Linked DNA regions of Drosophila melanogaster. The protein of the gene in region 1 interacts with the protein of each later gene in a pairwise test. Each region holds a gene or a part of one and is shown on either strand. Other genes may lie near its edges. The genes, in order: Ald1 and CG14718.

Region 1 (7,797 bases):
TAACCTAACTATAGTTGATCAAAAACTTTTCTAGCTATTTTGCCCTAATCTTTAATCTTGCCATTTATTGTAAAGCAAAAAAAAGGGTTCCATCAATATTAGTTTTAGAAATGAACATTTTTCTGTAGTTTTTTGAAAGATACTTTATAATCTGATCTACATCAACTTTTAATGAGTATACCAAATCGAACCAAATCGTTTCTTACCAAAACTGGGAAAACAATTTATCATTCTTCTGAACCACAAATTCACTCCTCTTTTTCGTATCTCCTCTTTAATTTAATATGAGTTAAAACACAGCTGGTGCTTGAATTTCAGACTCTTATGCACTCCACTTTCGGTTCACATAACTAGAATAATCAGAAATTATTTCGCTTTGGCTGCACCACAGTACGTAGCGTATACGCCGCGGTGTACGCGGGTGTGCGAAGGAGACGCGCAGCGCAAGTGGAACGCAACACGTGTTGGGCGACAGGTGCCGAGCGTTTGGCACACAACTCGACCGACCGACGCACGAATTCGAACTGAAAACTGAACCAGAATCCCCAAACGAAAATGGGAAGCGAGTGAGGCAGGCACGAGAACCGAAACAGGACGAAGGACGAAGCCACGAGGCACAAAGAGAGCGAGGACAATGAAGAGCACTGTGGCTAAGGTTCCTTCATTAGGTAAGCATATTATTTCATATATATCTAGCAACTGTATCACTTTAACTAAAGAAACCTAAGCATAGATAGTCTATGAAATATCTAAAATCCTTTAAATGTTATAACCCGTTCCACAGTCATTCTTTTCATTCAGAAAACTGTGCCAAAGTCATATTAGGACATTTTAAAGAGCGAAACGATTTTCTCTTTCGCTCGAACAGATTGTATGGCAGAATAGGGGGATATTTTCTCAAAGTTTGCGCTCTCAATCAGCTGTTTCCAGTGCCAGGGGGTTGAGTCCTTTAACATTGCAGGAGGTCAGGCATGGCGTGAAAGTCGCTTATCCTAGCTGCTGCTTCTGGCACCCCTCGTTTTTGTTGCGCTGCCGCTGGAGCGCCTGATGCTGATGGTCACGAAAAATTCATTGACCGCCCCAAGTAAAGCAGGTCGCTCGTAATTAAGGTTAAAATACACCAAATTAATTATTCTACCCTCTTTTCAATGCATAAGTAGAATAGGAAATGTTGTTGACAGGTTAAAAGATACAAATACTTGCAAAGATAACACTTCATTTTTAATGCTTTTTTATAGTTTTGGGCAAGAAAGCTTGGCAAGACATATAGTTCACTTGATGAGGATGATTTGGGATGACTATATCCAGCAAGACGCGACATTAAGTTTGTGGCACTTTATTGTTTTTAACATTTCAATACTATTTCAATATATATCGTATAGTGTTTGAGATCTTAAGATAAATTATTTATTATGTTAATACGCTTTGAGCACATTTCATTTAAATTTTTACCGCCCAAACGAAAGCTAAAGCTTCTCAAAGCTGTCTAATAAGTTTTACAGCTTATCTGTTAGGTTCCATCCCCCACTAAAAGCTCCCAGAATGAGCTTTATTTTGGATACCTTTCGTTTGGGGATCTGGGAATTTAAAGCGCTTGGCTCAGTCGGTTGCCCAACACCGTCGGCGACGACCTCCAAACAACCTTTTGGGGTCTCGCTCGGCATGTCTCGCTTATTTCGCTTTGGAATTTCACGTTGACGCCGCAGTCAGCGGTAGCAGAGGCATCGGCAGCGGCAGTAGCAGCGACACGGGCCGAAAATAAAAGCGTTAACCGCTCTCCTCCAGTGCAGCAGCAGCAGCGGACCCAGCCAGTAGCCAGCAGCTAATCACCACATCCCAGATTCAGTTTCCAGTTCGGTGAGTGGGCGTCATACGCAGTGAACAGAACCCCTGAGCCCCTTAAAAAAAATTCAGATATTTTTCCCCCCATTGGCGGCAGTGCAGTTGAAAAGTCGCGTAATCGTTCCCATTTCTCTGGGTGTTTCGTAATCCAAATCTACAGAGCAGCAGCGAATCTGTAGGCGTGTTAGTGTTAGTGAGTGCGTATTCGAATATAGTTTAATTATTCTCTAATCTTACCATTTCCGCGTGCTCGCCACTTTTATGACAAGTTCTAGAACCTCGAGGCTCTCGAGTGTTGTTGACCTATGCACCGCGGTTGAAGGAGTGGGGGGGCTACGCGAACTGCAGGCGATAAGAAGCCTTATCGGGTGACTTTTGGCTCACTTTCGTGAGTAGTAGTTTTCTCTACCGGCTCAACCGGCTCTCTTACTTTTCATCCGCTCTTTCATTCGAGTTCATTTGCTTGTTGGCAGGCTTTCAACTGCAATTTGTAGTCGCCGCTGCGGTTTTTCTTTATAAATAGTTGGCGCAAATGTTAAATGTATGTACTATACATCGCGATATACATATGTATACTTTCCCATCGCTCTCTCGCTTAGACTTCAATTAGCCAACGTCATCGTAAATTCATCAGATTGTTGACGTCTTCTCATGATAGACGCAATATGCTTTTGTCTATTGCATTTTATACCTACCATTTAATTGAGATTTCAGTGAATGAAGGAGAGCAAACATTTTACCGATAGTTTGTAGAGAGTACATGAGAAAAGAGGGGCAGAAGTTTAAGGGTTGTTTTGAAACCTACAGAAAACAAGTTTTGGTACTCCAAAGGACTTCCTTTCAAGATCAACCTGATTAGGATTTTTAAGAAGAGTTTTGAACATTTAAAACAACCAATTTATGTTCCTTTGATCGTTTATATCAAGCTTTGGGAAATTTTATAATGAATATAATGGAATTATAGGTATACATTCTCATTGTAAAGTATAAGCTAATCGATGAAATAAGACTAGATAAGGTACATTGGCTTATCTAGTAAACAGTTACCACAACAAAGTTTTTGGGGTCACATAATAAGGGCATAGATAGAAGTATGGGAGTGCTCGAAGTTTCCTATTTTCAGACAAGTATACAATTATTACCACCCATGTTTACGGCTAATCAGTTGACGTCAGTTCGTAGTAGTAGTAGTAGTATTATCTCAACTGTTGGATGTTCTTTTGACCCACTGTCTGCGTTCAAGGAGGCCGGACCTAAAATCTCGTTATGATAATGCAAAACCTTTGGAACTAAAACGCAACTGGGGGCTCGTTTTTTCGTCGTTTTCGATTCAAAATTTTCACTGATAGCAAGCTCACGAATACATATAGACGGACATGTGGCGGTTTATTTTTATAAACGGTCTCTTGATAGGAACGTAAATTTATTTTGATTGTTTTTTGTTGTCATGCGTTGGCTGCTCTTCGTTCCTCTTTCTTTTTTGTCATCGTATATATTTCGCCTAGTTTTCGAAACATTTCAGTCTTCGATTGATTGCCGGCAAGTGTAGGTGGGTGTTGTCTGCTGAGTGAATCCGCAACATCTATAGATAATTCTATAGATAAGGGTGTACATACATATCTAGTGTCGTTCTGTGAAGTGTGTTTAGATAACTGTTTAGAAATTAATAGATGAAAAAATGATTTGTATTCTAGAGATATATTAATATATTCTTAAACTGTGCAGTATTTTTAATATATGCATATATCAAGCTTTTATAATATCTATCTGTTCTTAGGAACCACAAGCTATTCACGCGTGTACAAAGTGTTAAATATATGGCGTGGGAAATGTGGGGTCGATGTGGTAAACAATATTTCGCGATAAGTTGCGGAGGTCTAATCTCTTAACCTGACATTTATGCCATTCCCAGTCCTTGGCTCACTGTCAATGTCAAACAAGTATAAAATGGGTTTTTAGTCATCGCAGATGACTTCGTATCTGTATCTACATATTGCTGGACACTAGCTATCTCTATCGCACTTCACACGCGCCACACGACTTTCGGTTTTCAACAATTTCTATTCGCATTTCGTAAGCAACAAATTTCGCTGGCAACATTTGTTGCTAAGGCTTGTTGCTTGACCTTGTTCAATGTCAAGCGAAAATTCATGCGCCCTGCGTTGGCGTCGCTGCCTGCAGGAACAGCGCAGCAGCAGCGGCAATAAAAGTGAAAGTTACCACGTCACGCATTATGCGGGTGTGAAGAAGACAGCTGCATTCGGTTAGAGTGAGACACAAGATTCCATGACTTTGATTACATCAGAGGGAATTATTGCCGAGGTTTCCGTGACTTTGCTCAGTTACAAAAACATCATCGTCGAGGTTGGTTCGGATTTTTCTTTGTGATCTAAGCTTAAAACAATTGTTCGGTTTTTGCAAATAGTTTTTAGCAAATTACAGACACTATAAAATAAGACACTATATAATATTTCATTCCAAAAAGTGCAGTGATACTTTTCCAACTTTGTATAGTACAATCCAAGAGGATTTTTCTAAAATGTGAATTTTCATTGATGTTTGTGAGAACCTCTAAAAAAGCTCTATTAAAAGGCAACATTTTATATGTGAATGTTGAGAGTGTAGGACAAACCTAGAAAAAAAAAAATGTGAGAGAGAGAGAGCGAAGAGCTGCAGATATAGAGAAAAGCACGTTTTCCGTGCATGCGCCTTTAATCTCATTCAATCACCCGCTCTTTGCCATCGAATCAGCTGTGAAATACACTACCATGCAAAGCATTTATTATCTTCAATGGAAAAATATTTTTAAATTGGAAAAAACACCAGTGACATTGACCTGACACTGAAAACAAAATTATATAATACCGCATCATTAAACAACAGCATATGACTCAATGGCTCTAATCGGTTAACTCAGAGTTCCACTTTAAATAACTTGACCTTTACAAATATTCTTTTTATTTTATGGAAATAATAATTAGGTCAGTTCAGTAAAATAATCCAACACTTGATTGATAGCTATCTCTGTAGCCGTTGTTATCTTTTTCAGTAGGAACATATGTAACTTTGAGTTACTTGATTTTGGTTGTCAGACTGTGCGGATCGTATACGAAATTTTAGTCCAAATTTTTAGTTTTATTTTTTACCTCGAAATATTTCAAAATTCTGTGCTTACGCAATGGTTTCCAATCATCCGCGCCGCTGCGGAATTCGATAGCTAGCTTATTAAAACACAATGTCCGCTACTCTTTTTCATCCAACAAAATAACACCACACCAAATCAAACGTAAATGGATCTTCGTGCTGCAGAACTACACTCGAATCTCAAAAATGACGACCTACTTCAACTACCCCAGCAAGGAGCTGCAGGATGAGCTGCGCGAAATCGCCCAGAAAATCGTTGCCCCCGGCAAGGGAATCCTCGCCGCCGATGAGTCCGGCCCAACCATGGGCAAGCGTCTGCAGGACATCGGCGTGGAGAACACCGAGGACAACCGCCGTGCCTACCGTCAGCTGTTGTTCAGCACTGACCCCAAGCTGGCCGAGAACATCTCTGGAGTGATCCTGTTCCACGAGACCCTCTACCAGAAGGCCGATGATGGCACCCCCTTCGCCGAGATCCTGAAGAAGAAGGGAATCATTCTGGGCATCAAGGTCGACAAGGGTGTTGTCCCACTGTTCGGCTCTGAGGATGAGGTCACCACCCAGGGTCTGGATGACCTGGCCGCCCGTTGCGCCCAGTACAAGAAGGACGGTTGCGACTTCGCCAAGTGGCGTTGCGTCCTGAAGATCGGCAAGAACACCCCATCCTACCAGTCGATCCTGGAGAACGCCAATGTCCTGGCCCGCTACGCCTCCATCTGCCAGTCGCAGCGCATCGTCCCAATTGTGGAGCCCGAGGTTCTGCCCGATGGCGATCACGATCTGGACCGCGCCCAGAAGGTCACCGAGACCGTCCTGGCCGCCGTCTACAAGGCCCTGAGCGACCACCACGTCTACCTGGAGGGTACTCTGCTGAAGCCCAACATGGTCACCGCCGGTCAGTCGGCCAAGAAGAACACCCCCGAGGAGATCGCCCTGGCCACCGTGCAGGCTCTGCGCCGCACCGTTCCCGCCGCCGTTACTGGTGAGTCATCAAATCCAACTGTAATCTCTGGATTGGAATGCATTCACCTTGTTTTTGCAATGAATCCTATCTAATCGATTGTTTGTCTACAGGCGTGACCTTCCTGTCTGGAGGTCAGTCCGAGGAGGAGGCCACCGTCAACCTGAGTGCCATCAACAACGTTCCCTTGATCCGCCCATGGGCCCTCACCTTCTCGTACGGTCGTGCCCTGCAGGCCTCCGTCCTGCGTGCCTGGGCTGGCAAGAAGGAGAACATTGCTGCCGGCCAGAACGAGCTGCTTAAGCGCGCCAAGGTGAGTCCTTGGATAGTTGTATCTATGCACGATTGATTGCAGTTAGCAATTTAAGTGGTGAATGTATTAAGAGTGTCAGGTATATGCTTCGGAAGTATTCCTTGGGCTAAGAAATATTATACATGTATAATATAACATACAGCATATTCCCAGCCATTGATTCCATTTCCAATCCCAAATGACCACAATGTTCTTCTAATCCTCTAATCTTATCCCTTTCATTTCCCTACCATTATTTGTAACCTTTTTTTGCTTTTGTACGTGAGACATTAATTTCATCATCAATAACCACACATTAATCATGCCTAGGCTAACGGAGAGGCGGCTTGTGGTAACTATACAGCTGGATCGGTTAAGGGGTTCGCTGGAAAAGATACTTTGCATGTGGATGACCACAGGTATTGATCAAAGGATTGAAGAATTGCTGCCTTAAGATGGCGATGAACAAGCTTTCATGGGGTAACTTAAGAATCATAGCCGCCTTTCACCAAATCCGACTTATCGCAAACGCCTTTAACATACTGTCCTCGTGCCACTCATGCTTCGCTTGCTCTAAACCTAATCCACAAAAGCCCAAAATCTGATTAATCCCAACCAAAATCCCGCTCTCCTCCCGCTTCCACAGGCCAATTCCCAGGCCTGTCAGGGTATTTACGTGCCCGGCTCAATTCCGTCGTTTGCCGGCAATGCCAACCTCTTTGTCGCCCAGCACAAATACTAAGTCCTAAATGCCACGCACTAATCCCGAGTCACAATCGAGCGAAGCTATATCCCAAGCCGAATCCAGATAATCCGCAAGAGTTACTGATCGAGGCCCAGCTGGAGTGAGACGGGCAACATTTATATTCCTCCAACAATGGAACTGCAAATATATTCCTTTTATACATTTTTACATTTTACCGAATAAACTGACTAGACCTTAAAGAAAATATTTTTGGCGAACAGAAATAAATTATATATTTCTAATAATACCTTGCTTATGATTTTGTTTACTTTAGTTAGCTTTAAACAAAAATTCGATTTTATTTTACCTTTTAATTTAATTTAAATACATTTTAATTAAAAATGTCTTGTCTAACTTTATTCATGAAAGCCCTTTGCAAACTTCCTACTGTTAATTAGAATAATAATTCGGAATATCTGTACCTGACAGTTAAGTTGAAAACAACGTAAAATTCGTTCGGAGAGCTGTTACATATATTTAATCGAATCATAATTTTCCTCCAAAGAACTTGCAAGATTAAATTTTCCAAAACTTTCCGCAGTACGCAGCATGTATTCGTGCGCTTGGATGCGTGGAAAGTTTTTAGAAAATTGCCGCAGGTGGAAAAAGTGGCGGAAGTTCTTCGAGCGCAGCAAAAATCAGTGTGAAAACTTTTTCATGCTGGCCGAAAAACTTTTTTGCTGCGGCTCGCCAAGTTACAACTAAGTAATAATTAGGAGTAGGCATTTCTCACAACGAAATTAATCAATTTTCCCCGCTTTCTTTACCCTCCCCCAGGCCAACGGTGATGCTGCTCAGGGCAAGTACGTTGCC
Region 2 (4,463 bases), about 15 Mb from region 1:
TGTAGGTGGATAGGTGTTTTCGATACCCAATGCGCACCTGCACCTTCCGATTCGTGTCAGTTTATTCAGGTAGATTGCTGAGCTGAGCTGAGCTGAGCTGTGCTGCGTGTTTACTCTGCTCCAGCAGGCAGCCAATTCATTAGCTGTTCCTACTTCGCCTTTGCTGCAAATGGAAGGAAAGACAACATGAATGCTGCACACAGTGCGTGTGCACCGAGAGATGCTGATGAAGAGTCATCCCTTTTGGCCACACCATAGAATAACCGAACGCAGCGTAGTCATACATATACCAGCTTATATTCCGGGCCAATTGCTTTGCTGCGCTTTTGTCTTTTCAATTACGGACGAGCTTCAAAGTCAAACTTTTGTGCAATTATACTGGAAGACAATTTGCCCTGTCTCGATTTTTATGAGCGCACAAAAAGTTTTCCACCAACGGAATAGGAACTTTTCCCCGGCAACAGTTTCCATTTCGCTGTTGTTTTCCCTTCAAGACAGTTGATTTTTAATTTCGTGTCGGCGGTTCCCAGCTTCATTACTTCATTTCAACGGGGGAAATATTTGACGGGTTAAAGCAAAACTTTGCCGCTCTGAAGTAAAGCTGCTGCTGTTGAAGATGCTGACCCTCCTCCTTTCTTGGAAATGGACACCACAGCAGCGGGGGCTGCTAATGAAACAGGAGCTTCCGTACAGGACACCGGATCCGAGAACCCGGAATCTGATGATAAGGTCAGCGGACTTGGTCGTAAAGAGGCGGCGGCCATAAAAGCCAATTGCTGGTGAAAATGTTGTTTCCTTTTTTTTTCCCCCGAACCGAGCTGGCGACAAACGTGGCACTTTCGTTTATCAGGGTGGCCGGCCTTGAGTTCGGGTTCGGGATATTAATAAACATGTCTTCAGAGTCCACGCTCCGTTGGCAGGACATTATTCTTGACTGCCCTCCAATTCGGGATCCTTTGTGGGGTTAATGTGGTCGCTCATTAGTGGGGTAATTGGCAGCTAATTGGCTTGATGAGTACCAGTCATCTTGATTCATCGTGATTGGCCCGGCCATGGATGAGTCTTGTCTTCGAAAAATATGAACTTAAGTTTCAGATTCCTATGGGAGTTCTACTCGAAGCTTTTAAATTGATATCAGGTACTTTTCTGCGCCATCTCACGCTGCGAAAATGTAATCAAAGTTTGCTGATTAAAGTGAAAATGTGCAGAAATTATGAATCAATTTTCCGAAGACGACGACAAGCGAAGTGCAAAGTCATCAGTGAGCTGCGAAAGTGGCATCCAGAGTTTTAGCCGCCAATCACGGAAATTTGCATAGTTCTTCGCGCTTTTAACTATGGACTACGGATGGAAAAACCAGGTCAAATCCCTTGAAAGGTGTGGACGTAAAAGTGCCAGCCATTTCGATGTCCATATTGCATTTTTACTTTGGCTATTAATACATTTTCACTCAGTAAATTCCACATTATTGAATTAAATTAATCCTGCCGCTGTCGATTTTATTTTAAATATATTCATTGGCAACAAACGGTTGATATGTTGGTTTTTGTGTGCAGCAATGATATTATTAATACTTCGGATTATATTGTTTTGATGTGGATAAACACATCACCAACATTTTTTCGAGTCAAAAGTAATGAAATTAAATTGGCTTGCCATTTGATTGAATTGGAAAAATATGGCTGCCAAGTAGGCTACAACACAATCTATCAAAGAAACTTAGATCCGGAACTCAGTTCATTTTTATACTCCTAGTGTCTGGATGTTATCAAAGATTTCAGTAGTTTTTAAAGGAATCGGTTCGTGTTTGATCAGCAGTAAAGGCCACACAACGAGGAGTTTTACGTATATTTTTTACCAACCATGGATAGCACGTCAGCCAGCGTAGTGTATACGAATTCTTTTTACGCTCCAAATTACTCGGACACCCAGCAGCCACAGCCACAGCTGCAGACTCAGCAACAGATGTTCCATGCCAACTACATCGTCGGAACCACATTGGGTTCTGGATTGGGATTTAATTTTGCACCAGCCCCCATTCCCCAGGCGAGTGCCGCTTCCGGTTTGAGTCCCAGAGGCATGTACAGTGATCTCTACCGCTACGAGGATGGAAGCGGCGATGCCAGCGGTTCCTTGCTTCTGGTCCAAGAGGATGACCACTTCTGTGGTGCAGAGGCGGACCAGCAGTTGGTGGCCAGCACGTCGTCCTCATGCCCGATGGCGAGTTCAGGCGAGTCCGTGAGCATTGACACAGAGCAGGAGGCGGAACGGGATCTTCAGATGAACCAATGTGAGACGCTGGAGCGGGAAGAGCTGAATGGAGATATAGGGGAAATGGGGGAAATGGAGGAGCTTGCAGAGGAGGTTAATGGCGAGCAGAGGCCGCCGCTGTTACCCTGCATGGGTGGCAACACATCCTACATGGTGTTCCCGCGCACCGCCGCCGACTACATGCCCCGCCTGGCGCTCCCGCGGCATAGGCCCTATATAAGCATCGGTCAGGAGCAGTACGTGATCCAGGCGGAAACTGTCTTCGTGCTGGGCATGCGCCTCAATGTGACCAAGAACGACATCATCCTGTTCTTCGGCAAAGTGGGCGTTATCAAGATGGACGAGTCGACCAACAAGCCGAAGATCTTCGTCTACAAGAACAAGATAACGGGGCGCTCCAAGGGTGAGGCCACTATAACCTATGTGAGTCCATTCTCTGCACAGGCGGCGATTAGTTGTCTGAGTGGGGCCAAGTTCATGGGACAGGTGATCACCGTTCTGCCCGCCTACCTATCCACCCGGAGGGGCAGTGTCCGGTACAGTTATCCGCGAGAGCTTAATGCGCCGGAGCACCAACGTCGCCAGCGGGCAATGAAATGGAAGCCAGCCATCGACAATTGGGTGTGCATGCTCTGCCGGAACAGCAACTTCGTCTGGCGTTCCAGCTGCAACAGATGCCAGGCGGACAAGGTGGTCGCTCCTCAGAATAACGAGGGAAGTTCCTGGGCGGGATCACGCGAAGAGGACGGTGCCCCTCGTCGTTGGCGGCCATACAGGAACGACTGGCTGTGCAAGATTTGCTATAATATGAATTTCTGGTACCGAGCGAAGTGCAATCGTTGCCACGCCCTGCGTTCCGATGAAATGAAGAGCTCCGAGTCGACGGAGGAAGATACCTGGGAGCTGGTTCTGAATCCGCCCATTGCAGAGTAGAAACAGTCCAGTCCACCTCGTTCTGTCTGTGTCTGTGTCTGTATCTATACGTGTTATCTGTTTTGTGTATCCGCATCTTTTTGTACGAAGGACACTTCTGCCTTCTGCATCCTGCTCCTTCCGGACTTCTAAAAATTTCAAGTGATTGGAACGCGAACTGCGTCGTGATATCCAGATGCAACTTCAATTGAATTGAATCGATTCGATGCGATGCCCATGAGCTTGTGAGCCCCATCCAAGAACAGCAAGAGCCAAGAACAAAAGACACCTAAATTCCTGTTAATGCCCGTCTTAGAAAAAGGCGTTTGAATGCAATGCCGCCACCATATACCCGCCGAACCAGTCTTTGTCCCCAGAGCAGAGATCCTCAGATTGCGGGACAATGCAACTTGCTGAATGGTAATCCACTTAATCCGGGTAACTGAATATTTTACCCAGGCACAAAAGGCAACCGGACCCACCTGGCCAGCTCTAAACGTTTAATGAATTTATTTACTTTCCCGACGCGTGCAGTCAGTGGCTCAGTGGCTCATTGGCTCTGCGGAACTGCACTGTAAATCGAAATATTATATTCAATGAAGTCTAAATTGTTTAATAAAATTAATCTTCTATTCATTTATTTATAGAAAGGGTGAACTCGTGGCTTTAAACTATCACAATGAAATTTCAAAATTTCTGAATCCCCCACAGCAAATCCTTGACTCAGATTGTTTTCTGTGTGCAGTGGCATCAAGCCACTTGAATCCATGTCCCACAAGTCGCTCGCCAGCCCCATCCTCCTACTCCTCCTTTCTATCTACCTCGTCCTTTTCTGTCATGTGATTTAATCAAACTTTGCGTCAGCCGAATCTGTGCCACAACAGCTTGGCTGGTTGGTAGATGGTGCGGCTGGTGAGTTGCTCTTTTGGCTGCACCCGCAGTTGCGGCTGCCCTCGTCTGCCGCATGCCACGCCCCCCTGCTCCATTCACCAGTTCACCAGAGGCGGCGCCTGGCAGACTTTGTGTTGTGCATTTACTTTGCACTTTCTTCCACGCGAGCGGACAAGGCACCTGGTGGGAGCTGTGGAGTGTGGAGTCCGGAGTCCGGAGTCCATCGTCCCTAGTCCATAGTCCATAGTCGGTTGTGCTTGGTCTGCCGCCTGCGGGGTATTTGCGTAGCTGCAGGTGTTGCTCCGTCTGCTGCTGCCCAACCAGCCCAGCCCAGCCTGGTAAACCACCAAACCCGCCCACAGTGTCGCCGATTTAAGTGGCAGCCATGG

The links.
Region 2: the proteins of Ald1 (region 1) and CG14718 interact in a two-hybrid assay, tested with the Drosophila melanogaster proteins (one large-scale study listed by BioGRID).

Annotation. Positions count from the first base shown.
Region 1 is NT_033777.3:26,255,396-26,263,192, reverse strand, and holds Ald1 (aldolase 1), read left to right. Parts: upstream 1-1,601; 5' UTR 1,602-1,857; exon of another isoform or gene 1,858-2,039; intron 2,040-2,079; exon of another isoform or gene 2,080-2,291; intron 2,292-3,357; exon of another isoform or gene 3,358-3,391; intron 3,392-3,979; exon of another isoform or gene 3,980-4,206; intron 4,207-4,913; exon of another isoform or gene 4,914-5,151; 5' UTR 5,152-5,172; coding exon 5,173-5,968; intron 5,969-6,060; coding exon 6,061-6,260; intron 6,261-6,569; coding exon of another isoform or gene 6,570-6,665; exon of another isoform or gene 6,666-6,719; intron 6,720-6,885; coding exon 6,886-6,981; 3' UTR 6,982-7,227; downstream 7,228-7,797. UniProt on the Drosophila melanogaster protein: Enzyme of the glycolytic pathway. Glycolysis is essential in glial cells but not in neurons; neurons rely on the citric acid cycle for their energy needs, and on lactate and alanine secreted into the hemolymph by glial cells to fuel it.
Region 2 is NT_033777.3:11,698,883-11,703,345, forward strand, and holds CG14718 (uncharacterized protein), read left to right. Parts: upstream 1-1,731; 5' UTR 1,732-1,863; coding exon 1,864-3,204; 3' UTR 3,205-3,838; downstream 3,839-4,463.